Linked DNA regions of Drosophila melanogaster. The protein of the gene in region 2 interacts with the protein of the main gene of each other region in a pairwise test. Each region holds a gene or a part of one and is shown on either strand. Other genes may lie near its edges.

Region 1 (7,977 bases), on a different chromosome or scaffold from region 2:
TCTCCGTAGATAATTCCGTGGAAGAGTATCAGCATCAACAAAGGAAAAACAATAGAGATTTCTTCCTCATACCTTACTTTGTTGTTCTCGACTTGTGCATTTACACTTACTAATCTGAACGAGTAATTTTACAGAGAAAAAAAAACGTTTATTTATAAACTTATCTCAAAATAAGGAGGAATTGTGGCAGAAAAGATTCACTACATGTTTACATTTCCAACAGAGCTTTTTTCGAGTGTACTTTGAGTGCGTTGGGTGATTGTGACCACCGAGATGACAATTGTTTCAATACACTCACAGATATGGGTATGTGTTTGCTTGGGGAGCGGAAGATCCAGATAATCTGCGCGGAGCGAGAGTCAAGTGTCATTTTTCCCTCAGTCTACCACAGACGTTGGACCAAAATAAATACCATCCGACGGAGTCCCGATCCCGATTGGAAAACACCAAGAATAGGAGCTGCTGCCAGTTATGTAGATCTACGCCGTTATGTCTGGAACATCGACCTCTGAACGCTCCAACTCCGAAGACAGGTAGTAGATAGGCATTCAAAAATCCATGTAATGACCAAAATACCCCGCTTCCAGCCCGTTGAATCCCTGCCTAACGGAGGTCCTCAGGAATTGTGCCAACATTCAGTCGCTGGAGAGCTTGAACTACGAATATAACGACGTTTTGCTGACCGAAGACAACGTGGGGAAGATGATTACGCCGAATCCGTATTCCTTTAGTGGCAACATTTCCATCAGCAGTTGTCCAAGTGAAGATGTATCATTTTCGGAAAGCATCCTAGAGGACAACGGACGCATTTCGCTGGCCTATGAGAACCTGAAGACAATTCCGCGGCGACTGGCCGACAAATTCGCAGCGCAGACCAAGTTTCTCGATTTGAGTCACAATGATTTCCGAAACTTGAGATTTCTCTCCTTTTTCGAGGATCTGGACACTTTAATCCTGGACCGCAACGTAAACCTGGACATAAACACTTTTCCTTATTTGCCGAGCTTAAGGATCTTGTGGTGATTACCCTGAATCTTGCATACATGGGTCCACGCAATAACACATATTCTATTCGTCTTGCAGGATCAACAATTGCGATATAGCAAATATAACCGATTGGATACACCGCATCGAACGGCACTGTCCTGCGCTGGATCAGCTCTCTTGCATGGGGAATCCTGGCATCCGCACAGTTTTCGGGGGCCAAGGACCCCGCGAGTATATACTACAGGTGCTTCCCCAGCTAAAATATCTCGATGGACTTCCAACCAGCAGGAATGCAGCTTATGCGACGCTGTCTTCCTCACAAGGACAGGGTCCGGACTCCACGAGCAATTCGGAAAAGCCTCCACTCGCATCCGCATTCACTTTCAAGGACATCATCCGTCCAAAGTATTCCAGAAAATCGCACAGCGGACGGATGTTTGGCAACGGCTCCTCCACAAACTGAAGTAATATGCCGAAGGAGGGAGGGGTATTCCACTGATTGCATTCTGTCCCATTGTTGGACTATTTTTAACCGTCCGCTGGATTATCAGCGCTGCCCTCGCTGCCCTGCAGTCGTCGATTGCACCTACAGTGCTATGCAAGTAAATATGCATATGGTTATTGCCATGTACGTATATAAATTTGCAATTGTATGACGATGGACACGCACAAACCTAGTGAGAATTAATCTAGTGCATTAAAGCAATTTTTACAATAATAAGAGTCAATGACCTCAGCGAATAGTCAAGTATACAATAGGCACCATCTTCAGAATAAATGTTCTTCGACTTATTCTGAATGTCGTTCAGTGCCCGATTAATTTTACGGATGTAAGCACATGGGCACGAGTTAATATTGCTTAAAACTTGAGGCCAAAGATTAAAATTATGATTCAAAGTAACCAGTTCATTGCGTTTAATCTAAATTTATTACAGGACTATTTTTGCCTACCTCAATAATAAATGTTTTTCAATGCCGTCAACAATACTAGACCACCAAAAACAGTTGCTTGGATGCACTGACTATAAAATTGTTTTTACTCCTATTTCTTTAATTGTTTATCTATGTAACTTGCTTAAAGAACAGAAACTGGAAACCCACATCTGAAAATATTTGGAACCATTACATTCTGGCATCTATTGCACAAATTTGTAGTGCTTATGTTGGTCAATTCGATTTGATTTCCAGGTTTCCAAAAGCAGCCTCCAAGGGTACAATCGTTTGTTTAGTCAAAAGTTGTTCGAGGGCCCACTGACTCAACTTTTGCAGCTCCTTCCGTTTGGAGCTCACGGCTCGAGAGTTGTCCAAATGGTTGCAGCACAAGTAAATGCCATAAAGGGCCCTCAAGTTATGCGGATTAAGCTTCAGGGCCTGCGAATAGTAAGTGCGAGCCGATTCCATATTCTCGACGCCACCCTGAAAGAAAATTAATTCATAAGATGGACTTCATTACTGGTTAGTGGGCTTATATAGCTCACCATTGTGTATCGTATTTCTGCCAAACGCTGGTGTATTAGATGGCTATGCGGATTGTGCAGCAAAACCTCCTCCATGCAGAAGGCAGCTTTGCCAAACTCGCCTTCAGCCAGATACATGTTGCACAGCTCATGCCATGCCTCCTGGTCAGACATAAACCTGAAGGAATATTAAATAGTTATGAGATTATCGTACATGGTAAGATAAGTAGTTGTCTAGCAACCGGATGCCGGAAACTAATTTGGTTCCGTTCTTCCAAAAACACCATGAACTTAGCTTTCTTACTTCTTCAGATACTCGTTGAGCTCCTTGATGGCCTCCAGGCGACGACCACGGGCCTTAAGGATGGCAATCTTGCGCTTCCTGGGCGCGGCATTTGTCTCGTCCTTAGCAATGATTGCATCCAGGACCTCGTCGGCCTCATCGTACTGCTCCAGGGCCTCGTAGCGCATCGCTTTGAACTTCATCACGCGCAGGCTGCCCGGGAACTCGAGGGCCAGCTGCTTGGTACACTTGGTGGCGATGTCAAAGCGAGCCGTATCCAATGCCGCGATGATCACCTGCTCCAGGATGAGATGCCGCTCGTTGCCGGTCTTGTGCACCTTGTCCTCCAGCACAGCAACCCACAGCTGGACCACCTCCTCGCTGTGGCGACCCGTCTCCTCGCGCCATGTTCTGAACTGATCGCGTACATCTGGAAGGATGATCATACGATTATGATACCGCACTTTTCATTCATGGCCCCGTTTTTTGGGTCCACGGAAACCGGGCGATTGGGAGCAACCCACTGACGTGGTCTGCACCTGTTTGAAGCCGGGAAAAGCCAAAAACTCACCCGACCAGCTCATCTTCTCATAATCTAGCGACATATTCACTTAGGCGCACTTAAATATCTCATTAATTTAACTTAATTTTCCAATTGTAATCTTTAACTGCCGATTTCCTTTCCTGGCAAAATAAAAGTGTGGCAGCATAATGGGCCGTTAGATTATACCAAATAACAGTGGCGTGGCGCTGCCAACCTACTTTTTGAATATCGTAAGACTCTACTCTACAGTTACACAGTATGCAGGATTTGTTGACTAGTTTGTAAAAGAAAGCGTTTCCGATCCAATGATGTATATATATCCTTTCCTCTCATCTGCATACATAAGTAAACGAGAAGGTGATATAACTATAATAACTAGGTCATTAATGAATACGGTAAAAAGGAGCGAACCTAGGTGTTTCCCTTGTGGTATGCCAGATATGGGTACAAGATGGGTACAAGTAATAACATTTTTGCAGAGTACCCTTTGCGTTCTGCCATTCAAATATCTTAAAGTCCAATTCAAAAGATCAACCGGAAAACATTATAAATTTAGATTCCTATTGGATAATTAAGGAAGTCATATGGCTTACTTATGTTAGTATATATGTATAGTCACATAATCAACATATTTTCACGTTTCCCTTCCGTTTCTGAGTGCACTCGGCATACGACACAATCGATCAACTTAGCTCTATATGAACAAACAAGTAAATAAATGTGATTTATATTACAAGGAGCTCTTATTAATTATTTGCAGCGCATTAACATGGTCCAATTGTTCCCAGCCACGTAAGGTAATACAAAGTTCCTGAGTTTGATAAAAGAGATAAGAAAGAACACCTTAAACCCTCTTACCAAACGTACTCCTAACTGGATAAGTAGTTCGGTAAACCAATAACTAAATAGTATACCAAGCGTTCAGCAAAACTAACACACCATCTCCGTAGATAATTCCGTGGAAGAGTATCAGCATCAACAAAGGAAAAACAATAGAGATTTCTTCCTCATACCTTACTTTGTTGTTCTCGACTTGTGCATTTACACTTACTAATCTGAACGAGTAATTTTACAGAGAAAAAAAAACGTTTATTTATAAACTTATCTCAAAATAAGGAGGAATTGTGGCAGAAAAGATTCACTACATGTTTACATTTCCAACAGAGCTTTTTTCGAGTGTACTTTGAGTGCGTTGGGTGATTGTGACCACCGAGATGACAATTGTTTCAATACACTCACAGATATGGGTATGTGTTTGCTTGGGGAGCGGAAGATCCAGATAATCTGCGCGGAGCGAGAGTCAAGTGTCATTTTTCCCTCAGTCTACCACAGACGTTGGACCAAAATAAATACCATCCGACGGAGTCCCGATCCCGATTGGAAAACACCAAGAATAGGAGCTGCTGCCAGTTATGTAGATCTACGCCGTTATGTCTGGAACATCGACCTCTGAACGCTCCAACTCCGAAGACAGGTAGTAGATAGGCATTCAAAAATCCATGTAATGACCAAAATATCCCGCTTCCAGCCCGTTGAATCCCTGCCTAACGGAGGTCCTCAGGAATTGTGCCAACATTCAGTCGCTGGAGAGCTTGAACTACGAATATAACGACGTTTTGCTGACCGAAGACAACGTGGGGAAGATGATTACGCCGAATCCGTATTCCTTTAGTGGCAACATTTCCATCAGCAGTTGTCCAAGTGAAGATGTATCATTTTCGGAAAGCATCCTAGAGGACAACGGACGCATTTCGCTGGCCTATGAGAACCTGAAGACAATTCCGCGGCGACTGGCCGACAAATTCGCAGCGCAGACCAAGTTTCTCGATTTGAGTCACAATGATTTCCGAAACTTGAGATTTCTCTCCTTTTTCGAGGATCTGGACACTTTAATCCTGGACCGCAACGTAAACCTGGACATAAACACTTTTCCTTATTTGCCGAGCTTAAGGATCTTGTGGTGATTACCCTGAATCTTGCATACATGGGTCCACGCAATAACACATATTCTATTCGTCTTGCAGGATCAACAATTGCGATATAGCAAATATAACCGATTGGATACACCGCATCGAACGGCACTGTCCTGCGCTGGATCAGCTCTCTTGCATGGGGAATCCTGGCATCCGCACAGTTTTCGGGGGCCAAGGACCCCGCGAGTATATACTACAGGTGCTTCCCCAGCTAAAATATCTCGATGGACTTCCAACCAGCAGGAATGCAGCTTATGCGACGCTGTCTTCCTCACAAGGACAGGGTCCGGACTCCACGAGCAATTCGGAAAAGCCTCCACTCGCATCCGCATTCACTTTCAAGGACATCATCCGTCCAAAGTATTCCAGAAAATCGCACAGCGGACGGATGTTTGGCAACGGCTCCTCCACAAACTGAAGTAATATGCCGAAGGAGGGAGGGGTATTCCACTGATTGCATTCTGTCCCATTGTTGGACTATTTTTAACCGTCCGCTGGATTATCAGCGCTGCCCTCGCTGCCCTGCAGTCGTCGATTGCACCTACAGTGCTATGCAAGTAAATATGCATATGGTTATTGCCATGTACGTATATAAATTTGCAATTGTATGACGATGGACACGCACAAACCTAGTGAGAATTAATCTAGTGCATTAAAGCAATTTTTACAATAATAAGAGTCAATGACCTCAGCGAATAGTCAAGTATACAATAGGCACCATCTTCAGAATAAATGTTCTTCGACTTATTCTGAATGTCGTTCAGTGCCCGATTAATTTTACGGATGTAAGCACATGGGCACGAGTTAATATTGCTTAAAACTTGAGGCCAAAGATTAAAAGTATGATTCAAAGCAGTTCATTGCGTTTAATCTAAATTTATTACAGGACTATTTTTGCCTACCTCAATAATAAATGTTTTAAATTATCCGGTTTCAATGCCGTCAACAATACTAGACCACCAAAAACAGTTGCTTGGATGCACTGACTATAAAATTGTTTTTACTCCTATTTCTTTAATTGTTTATCTATGTAACCTGCTTAAAGAACAGAAACTGGAAACCCACTTCTGAGAATATTTGGAACCATTACATTCTGGCATCTATTGCACAAATTATTAGTGCTTATATTGGTCAATTCGATTTAATTTCCAGGTTTCCAAAGGCAGCCTCCAAGGGTACAATCGTTTGTTTAGTCAAAAGTTGTTCGAGGGCCCATTGACTCAACTTTTGCAGCTCCTTCCGTTTGGAGCTCACAGCACGAGAGTTGTCCAAATGGTTGCAGCACAAGTAAATGCCATAAAGGGCCCTCAAGTTATGCGGATTAAGCTTCAGGGCCTGCGAATAGTAAGTGCGAGCCGATTCCATATTCTCGACGCCACCCTGAAAGAAAATTAATTCATAAGATGGACTTCATTACTGGTTAGTGGGCTTATATAGCTCACCATTGTGTATCGTATTTCTGCCAAACGCTGGTGTATTAGATGGCTATGCGGATTGTGCAGCAAAACCTCCTCCATGCAGAAGGCAGCTTTGCCAAACTCGCCTTCAGCCAGATACATGTTGCACAGCTCATGCCATGCCTCCTGGTCAGACATAAACCTGAAGGAATATTAAATAGTTATGAGATTATCGTACATGGTAAGATAAGTAGTTGTCTAGCAACCGGATGCCGGAAACTAATTTGGTTCCGTTCTTCCAAAAACACCATGAACTTAGCTTTCTTACTTCTTCAGATACTCGTTGAGCTCCTTGATGGCCTCCAGGCGACGACCACGGGCCTTAAGGATGGCAATCTTGCGCTTCCTGGGCGCGGCATTTGTCTCGTCCTTAGCAATGATTGCATCCAGGACCTCGTCGGCCTCATCGTACTGCTCCAGGGCCTCGTAGCGCATCGCTTTGAACTTCATCACGCGCAGGCTGCCCGGGAACTCGAGGGACAGCTGCTTGGTACACTTGGTGGCGATGTCAAAGCGAGCCGTATCCAATGCCGCGATGATCACCTGCTCCAGGATGAGATGCCGCTCGTTGCCGGTCTTGTGCACCTTGTCCTCTAGCACAGCAACCCACAGCTGGACCACCTCCTCGCTGTGGCGACCCGTCTCCTCGCGCCACGTTCTGAACTGATCCCGTACATCTGAAAGGATGATCATACGCTTATGATACGGCACTTTTCATTCATGGCAATTGGGAGCAACCCACTGACGTGGTCTGCACCTGTCTGGAGCCGGGAAAAGCCGAAAACTTACCCGACCAGCTCATCTTCTCATAATCTAGCGACATATTCACTTAGGCGGACTTAAATATCTCATCAATTTAATTTAATTTCCCAATTGTAATCATTAACTAGCGATTTCCTTCTTGGCAAAATAAAAGTGTGGCAGCGTAATGAGCCGTTAGATTATACCAAATAACACTAGCGTGGCGCTGCCAACCTGCTTTTTGAATATCGTAAAGTCTAGAAATGAAGTCAGAGGTAATTTTTTAAAACTTTTTATTATAAAGAGACTTCTAAAGTTAAGTTTTTCTACATATACCTTGTTTCCGATATTTGCAAAGTTAATTAAACTGTTAATACTTCTGAAATACTTGTAGGTCCTTGAAAAGGATTCTTTAATGAATTATTTTACCATGCATTAATCTTATTTTGTCCAAACTTTGTGCATTGCTTATCCATTTTAACAGATTTCTAAGTCAAGTGCACATTTGAAAAGCGCGCCAACGAAAACATGAAAC
Region 2 (7,936 bases):
ACGCGGCTCGCCACGGCGCAAGGATGCCCAGGATCGGACGACTCCAGGTACAGAACCGCACACCACTAATCCCAACCCGGCACCAGCACATACCCACACCCTTCAGGTGCCAGCGAACGAGGGCATTCCGCGATTCGGGGATCGCCGTTCGCCTAGCAATGTCCAGGATTGGTTGGAGCTGCATGATCTCTTCGATGGTCCGGACAGTGGTCCATATGGTCCATATGCACCGCCTGCTCCTCTGGCAGACCCAACGGTTACTCTACTGAGAAGTTCTTCGCTGCGGCGCCGGGATTCCCTGCACTCCGCCTACTCCACGGCTCGATCAGAAAGTAGCTTCCGGCGCCAGCAGCCAAGACTCCTCAACCACGTGGACATCTTTCAGCGCAAGAACAGCTTTGTGGCGCGCAGTGATCGGTCATCGGTGGGCTCCATAGTTCGGAGCTTTCCGCCGATCAGAGCGGAAAGCTATCGTACGGGACGTTCCCGATCCTCGGGCAGTATTCACAGCCAGCATTCTCCTAGGCGAGGGATTCAAGAGAAGCTGCAGCGACATCAGAGGCGGAAGCGTTACTTTCACTACGTGGATTTGGCGCTCGGTGGCGAGGATTGCGAGAACCAGCCGGAGGAGGATAATCTCCTGCAGTCGGTCAGTGCTTTTTTGGAGGTCAAACGAGAACTGGAGGCGACACAGCGTCCTAGAAGACCTCTACCCAAGCTTACGCTTCCCGACCCGGTCGTAGAGCCTGCGAGGAGTCCTCCTGGACAGCAGATCAGACGGGGCAAGAGACGAGCGCCCAAGGCAGCGCCCTCCACGATACCCGAGAGCGACGGCACTCAGGGATCGACTGGACGCGGACAGGGACGGGATTAGCTACTCGCTTGCACCTCGCTTACCCAGCCACACTACACCATTACCCAGCTACCTTTTATTACTACTGTCTACTTCTGCCACTCATTCCGTTGTATATTTTGCTCTGCTCATTGTATTGCTAGGCACAACGCCCTCATGCAGCTCGACTCCTCCCCCCGCCTTTGACGACATCTCCGAGGACAGCTCGAACAAGAACAGCAGCTCGTCGATAGGTCGCCGGTCTCATCATCATCACCACCATCACCAGCAGTCGCAGCAGCATCAGCAGTCCTACTATCTGGATCGCAAGATGAACATTGGACCCGCCTATCGAGGCTCCTACAAGGAGGACATTGTGAGGTATTAATGCTTATGTATGTTAGCCATCTAAGCTATCCCGCCGTCGAGTGGAAATACCCATTTGTAACAAATTGATTTATTGTTTAACTAGCGTTTCGGAAGTCCATCTGGATACATTACTGGCGGTGGACACGTCGTCGAGCAGCCAGTACGGATCCCGCGGCGGATTGGCCTGGACCCCGCCCGCTTCAGGTGAGGGCTCCACTCCCACATGGACAGAGGGCACACCAAGTTTTACGGACTCCAGTTCGAGTGGTGATCTCGGTAATTGGCACTTGAGATTTGCTTTGAAATCGCTTTTTGTGTTTCTATATCTATCTGTATATGTGTATTCGTTCACGCTTGCAATCGTAGACAACTTCTCGCCCATAAACTCATCTAAAATCGATCGACACAAGCCGACGGTGGAAGAGGCCATCAACTCTCTGTCCGCGGGAATGGTAAATATCAGAGGAGACCGACTCTAGACACGATCCCCAGCACACATAGATACGTCCCGTACCGCTGCACCCACGACACCTCCACACCTAGACAGCTCCACCCCCATCACACACAGAGTTAGACTCGCACACGTCCATGTAGAATCGTACACTACTAGAGTTTTCCAAATTGCAGTGCATCTTTCGTTTGGGTGTTCTTCCCTAGCCATTCCCCCACAGCATCCCACTGATACATGACTTCTCTATTGCATTCTTATAGATCAACTAACATAGCATGTGGTGACGGAACACAAGACACACCAACCCAGATATATCACGATGTGGACTGAGAAAGAGTCCGAGCGAAATATGCCTCATACTCTTACATACTGATTATGCTTGCGTGTTCAGGCGCTCTTGTATAGCTAGGATATAATCAAAAGGCGCCCCACGTAGAACAGATTCCCCCATGTCATGCCCACGACCACGACCACAGCCACACCCACACCTGCCCATCCCTTCCAGCGGACACTGGGTGAAAAATAACCAACAAGAGACATAACTCAATCAAGCAAAAGATATTATATACAAGCCCAAAGCATACTCCTTATACACAGAACTACAGAAGCATATAGCATATAACTGGCAAATCAAATACGAGTAAGGTGCTCAGGATGGCATCCCGTTGGTGATCAGAGATCCGTGATCAGTGATTCGTAGTCCCGGTCCCCTATACGTTTAGTGTACGGTGTAAAGAGTTCGTTATGCGTTCGATCAGATAATATGAAAATATACAATACACTGAAATTATATAAATAAACGTTTTTGCGATACTTTCGATCTCCGATATATCCACATAAGTACGTATTATGTATACCTATGTATAATCAGCAATCGCGATATTACAATATTATTGTAAAATATTTCAATTTACAAGCCAGACAAACCAAAAGCAAAATTATATACATATTATTCATCTGTATTTATTAACGATAATTGTAACGCGCTTAGGTTTACTCAACACAATAAACAGAACAGAACCGGACCGGACCGGACTTAAAAAGGATATTACAATAGGTGCACCAACAGACGGACTCGGACTGCAGACAACATTTGACTCAAAACATGATGAAAGAATTGATTATTTATTAATTAGTTGAATGTTATTTAACTTATATGCATTATTCTAAAGATTACTGAAATCCAAATGTAATTACAATAAATTAAATTGCAAGGTTGAAATTCCGGCATGTTCCCTCGAATGCGATTTTGCTAGACTAAAAAAAAAACGTACGTTTGAAACGGACGACTAGTACAGTTTCTGCAGATCGTTGAGCGGCTGATTCAGGAAGTCGTTGGTCCAGTTTTTGTCCGGATTATCTAGATGGTTGTCAAAGTCAACCAAATCCCGCATGGCTCCGCGCTTCAGCAGCAGCGACACGCCTTCCAATGTATCGGACGCCTGTGAGAGCGTAAACTTGGCCTTTGACCACCTTGCTCCAGAGTCTCCGGGACAGTTGAATACCTGGATGGCGGCTCGGTCGTGCTGCAGCGTCATCAGTTTGTTGTCCACCACCACAAAGCAGGCGTTCTTGAAGTTCTCCTGGATCTTGTCAGCTATCTTGGCGGCTGGGGTCTTGTCGACCTGGTTGTCGTAGAAGTTCTCCGGTGCTGCGTAGTAGCCTGCGATTACTAATCCTTCCCGTTCGGCGTGGGCATCGATCTGAAAGTGTAAGGTAATGTATTATTATCGTTATTTTATAAAATGTTTTAATTTAAACAATGGTACAACCTTATCGGCTTTTAAATTTAATTCAGTCTTCACAACTTCAATGCTTTAAGACTGCTAGTTTAATTTGGGTAATAAACTTCTAACAGGGTAAAAGTGGTGTGACACTAGTTTTTGAATTTGATATGCTAATATTAAAATACCATCGTGGGGTACAAGGTACATTTTACTAAATAAAGATCGCTTGGAACATAAACCTTTCTGTTCTAAGCACAACACTGGATAACTATGCAGCCGCAATAAGTTAGAATAGTTATATATCTTTTGGATAGCGGAGTGTTTGGCCAGGGTGCGAGGATCTAGATACAAATTGAAGCCATAATAGTTCCATTATGGGGCGCACCACATTGCTGTCCGGACACAAATGCACCGAGCCCCTCGTGATGTGAGTTTAGGAAGGGCAATTGGTAATTACCAGCATGAGGGCCACCTCCGCCATGGGGGTGACATACAGGCACTGGTGGAAAAGCGGAATCGCATCCACGATTTCCACTTGGGAGCCCTTCGATGTCTTCTCGGCCAGCAAGAGTCCGTTGACCGCCTGGTGTGGATACTTGGCCGCGTGGAATATCAACTTGGCGTACGCCCGCTCCGAGACCTTGTAGTCGCACATTTTCTCAGAATATTATCTCAATTTATTCGGCAAAAAATAAAACATGAATTGGAAATTCGACAGCTAGAAAGTGTGACCGCGACGCAGCTGTTCAAATATACCGCAAACGTCAAATATACAATGAAAAATACTAAAATGGATGAGCATGGAATGGATTCCACAAAAAATGTGATCAAAACTATATTTGTTAATTATGTCTTTAACATTGAAAATATATTTATAACTTAAGTTCTAGAAAATGGTTTCTAACATAGGTTGCAGTAGTCTGGTCACATCGATATGGGCGCGCAAACAATATGTGGATTCCACTTCAAATTAATTTATTACTCAAACTAATATTTAATTCTAACGTGAATGATGGAAAACATAACTGAATATGTGTAACATTTTATTTCTTAACTGTCCGTCTGCGTCTCGCTCTTGCTTGGTTTTTTTCTCCGGTTTTTTATATATGTATATTGTAACTAAAAATATTTAGCAGTTCAGCTGAATGTCCGGTGGCAGACCAACCCGGCCTTCCAATTGGATCCTTGAACACCATCAAACCACACCGATGGGGGAACTACGTCTGGCTTTCATTCAGTATTGCCTTGATGTCGTCGGCGTCAAGAGTCTCGTACTTGAGAAGCGCCTCCGCAAGCGCTTTGTGCTCCCTGGTGTGTTTTCGCAGGATAGCCTTCGCCCGCTCGTAGCTGTCGCTGAGGATGCGCTTGATCTCCGCGTCCACGGCTTCAATGGTGTTGGGACCAAGGGTGTCACCGGTGCCCAGACCCTTTGACGCCTCGATGGTGCGAAGACCGACCTTGTCCGACATGCCCCAGTCCCTGACCATATGCGTCGCGATCGAGGTTGCCTGCTTGAGATCACTGCTGGCTCCCGACGTAATCTTGTCCGTGCCGAAGACCAGTTCCTCAGCAGCACGACCGCCCATCATGGTGTCCATCATGGCCAGCAGCTGTGCCTTTGTGACATGGTAACGCTCCTTCTCCGGTATGTAGGCGGTGTGTCCAAGGGAGGGTCCGCGGGGCATGATGGTCACCTTGTGCAGCGGATGCGACTCCTTGGTGTAGAAGGCCACAATCGCGTGGCCGCCCTCGTGGTAAGCGGTTATGGTGTTGGCCTCCTCGTCCGGTAGACGAGCCTTGCGCTCGGGTCCCATAAGTACTTTGTCTCGTGCCGTTTCCAAATGCTTCATGCTGACCGTTTCGGCTCCATCGATGGCAGCTCTGCCAAAATGTTAGAATTATTAGTACCGCTCTTCAAAATTGTGATTGAATAATACAACACAAGTTATTCCTTACCTTAACGCCGCTTGGTTAATCATGTTTTCCAGATCCGCTCCAGTAAAACCAGAGGTGCCGCGCGCCAGCATGTCCAAGTCTATTTCATCGTGCAAAATCTTCGTCAGATACAGAGACAATATCTCCTTACGTCCAGTGAAATCGGGCGTCGACACCATGACTTCTACATCAAATCGGCCGGGACGCAGCAGAGCCTGATCCAAATCGTCGCGACGATTGGTGGCTCCCAAAACAATGACGCCAGCGTTCTGATGGAAGCCATCCATCTCGGAGAGCAGCTGATTGATGGTCTGATTGGCGTAAGGATGCAGCACAGAGTTGGTTCGCTTGGCGCCCACCGAGTCGATTTCGTCAATGAAGATAACACAAGGGGCACGGGCCTTTGCTGCCTCTGCAAGATGATGTTCTTGTTTAGTTGAGCACTTTGGATAATTGAAATCTACTTACTGAACAGATCACGCACTCGTCTGGCTCCTTGGCCTACGAGCACCTCGTCGAACTCCGGTCCGGCAGCATGGAAGAAAGGAACTTTGGCTTCACCGGCGACGGCACGGGCCAGCAGTGTTTTGCCAGTACCCGGCGGGCCAACCAGGAGCACTCCCTTTGGAAGCTTTCCGCCCAAATTTGAGAACTTTTCCGGACTCTTCAGGAATTCAACGACCTCCTTGAGCTCCTGCTTGGCTTCGTCGCAACCCTTGACATCCTCAAAAGTGACGTTGATCTCCTCAGGGTCCACTTCAACCTGGTTGCCCAGTTGTATGCTGCTGAAAGAAAGGCATATCAGATGGGTAAAGCAAAACTAATAACGTGGAGGCTCACCGAAATACGGATCCATTGGAGGTTGTAAAGAAGCTCAGGAAAATGCCCAAGAACACGACGATAACGACGATAGTCTGCAAAGTCTGCGTGACAATTACTAGAATTTATTTATAACACTAAAGAAGACCAAGGCCTTCTGTGGTTTTCAAAGTAATCATGGTACACTTTGAATGAATTTAAACTCGTACCTTCAGATATTTCATAGTTTTTCCTGATTTTGGAGAGTCCTCCGAGTTAGCGGCGGCCAAGTAGCCCTCGGCAAAGGCAATTTTCAGGCTCTCCTGGAATACAAAACATTAGTACGGTTAACAATTGAGAGACCCTGTCGTCCTACGGCTTTATTAAATCCATGCTCTTCGGATTTGGCCAGCAGCCGTCTCAGTTTTTCAGCCTGAAGGGGTGTGTCCCCATCCAGACGCTGGGGCGAGTTGGCCAGAGCATTCTTTAGTCGGGAGGTCATTGTGGGATTGCGCTTTTGTTCCGCCTCAATGGAACGATCCGTCTTAAAGCCACGTATCTGATTTCTATAAAGAGCTAAATTTGAGATATAGTTCGTAGATACTTTCCGTATAATTACAGCTGTTGTTGTGAGAAGAGCGGACGAAGAAGACCTGGTGTAATAGTTGGAATCACCTTGCTGAAAACATAAACCAGGATTAAGCGGAGCCTCGAAAGGATAATTTGCAATACGTACACATTGGCGCCTGTGGGCACGGAACCTGCTGCACCGGTTAGCGAAACTTCGAACTGATAATTTTGCAGCTGGACACGACCGATCTGTGTGGCCGACTCCTCCAACGTGACTCGGACATCGCGCATGGAGGGCAGCATGCTCGTCACCTTGGCCAGCACATCATCGACCAGCCGCCGGTCGAGAATGCCATTCAGTCGAGCCGCCCTCTCCACCATGCCCTGTATACTGGCGCTCGAACGGCTCAGCAGGTTCCGCAGGTCGAGCACTAGGTCATGACTCCGGCTGGACGTGGACGTGGACTTGGACAACCGGGCAGCTCCCGCGCTCCCGTGCAGCTTGGTTCGATTAACGGAGTAGTAGTGCGGCTTTCTGCTGAAGTTGCCTAGGTACAGGTAGGGCTGTCACATCACATCACACGCAGTTCCCCGATTCCAAGTGTTGGGTGGTAGAAATGGAGCAGTCAGGTGGGCGAATGAATGTATTGTCATCGGGCAGCACTTACCACGGAGTGTGTGGTGGTGGAAAACATTGCCAAAACTACAAATTTCAATAAATTACAAGGGCAGGCTCAGGATCGCGGCCAGCAGACGACACAGCTGTAACTTTACTTGACAGCGAAAATGTCATAATCTCGTCGCGTCGTGCGCGTTGCATCCCTGGTTCTGGTGGTGCGCGACTTTCCACCTCTTATCAAAGCACGCGTTCTCCAATTACTGGCAATTTTCAAAAGTGTATTCGTTTGTCGACTGGTGGTTTTGATTTTATTCGATTTTTAATTTGGTTTATATATCTAAACTGCCTCTCCGTACAGTCAACGCTGCTGATAGTGTTGCTAAACTTACATAAATATATAAAATTTTGTATAAATAAAATGAATGATAATCAGCGCAAACTTTGCATTCTATAAAATGTGATTTGTTTACTACTAAGATCAAATGAAAGTCTATTCCAAATTTTACTTATATTGACAACAAATTCCATTGTATCAACTGTAAATGAATGTTGTCTTTGTTATTTAGTTTTAACTTCTTAAAGAAAAAGGTTTTTAACCAGTTTAGGATAGACAAAGAGTCCCTATCGCAACCATC

Evidence for each region. The genes of interacting proteins can lie anywhere in the genome.
Region 1: the proteins of EMC8-9 (region 2) and EMC2B interact in a two-hybrid assay, tested with the Drosophila melanogaster proteins (2 studies listed by BioGRID).

What each region holds. Positions count from the first base shown.
Region 1 is NT_033777.3:16,988,436-16,996,412, forward strand, and holds EMC2B (ER membrane protein complex subunit 2B), read right to left. Parts: upstream 3,444-7,977; 5' UTR 3,333-3,443; coding exon 3,299-3,332; intron 3,158-3,298; coding exon 2,749-3,157; intron 2,623-2,748; coding exon 2,466-2,622; intron 2,404-2,465; coding exon 2,155-2,403; 3' UTR 1,899-2,154; downstream 1-1,898. Other genes in the region: MESK4 (misexpression suppressor of KSR 4), read left to right, coding at 490-533, 588-1,019, 1,084-1,450; CG31274 (uncharacterized protein), read left to right, coding at 4,702-4,745, 4,800-5,231, 5,296-5,662; EMC2A (ER membrane protein complex subunit 2A), read right to left, coding at 6,376-6,624, 6,687-6,843, 6,970-7,378, 7,491-7,524.
Region 2 is NT_033778.4:22,878,566-22,886,501, forward strand, and holds EMC8-9 (ER membrane protein complex subunit 8/9), read right to left. Parts: upstream 4,126-7,936; 5' UTR 4,035-4,125; coding exon 3,837-4,034; intron 3,356-3,836; coding exon 2,942-3,355; 3' UTR 2,757-2,941; downstream 1-2,756. Other genes in the region: PIP5K59B (phosphatidylinositol 4-phosphate 5-kinase 59B), read left to right, coding at 1-874; YME1L (YME1 like ATPase), read right to left, coding at 4,597-5,260, 5,336-5,726, 5,783-6,099, 6,155-6,237, 6,343-6,435, 6,489-6,678, 6,732-6,791, 6,849-7,246 and 1 more. UniProt on the Drosophila melanogaster protein: Part of the endoplasmic reticulum membrane protein complex (EMC) that enables the energy-independent insertion into endoplasmic reticulum membranes of newly synthesized multi-pass membrane proteins like rhodopsins.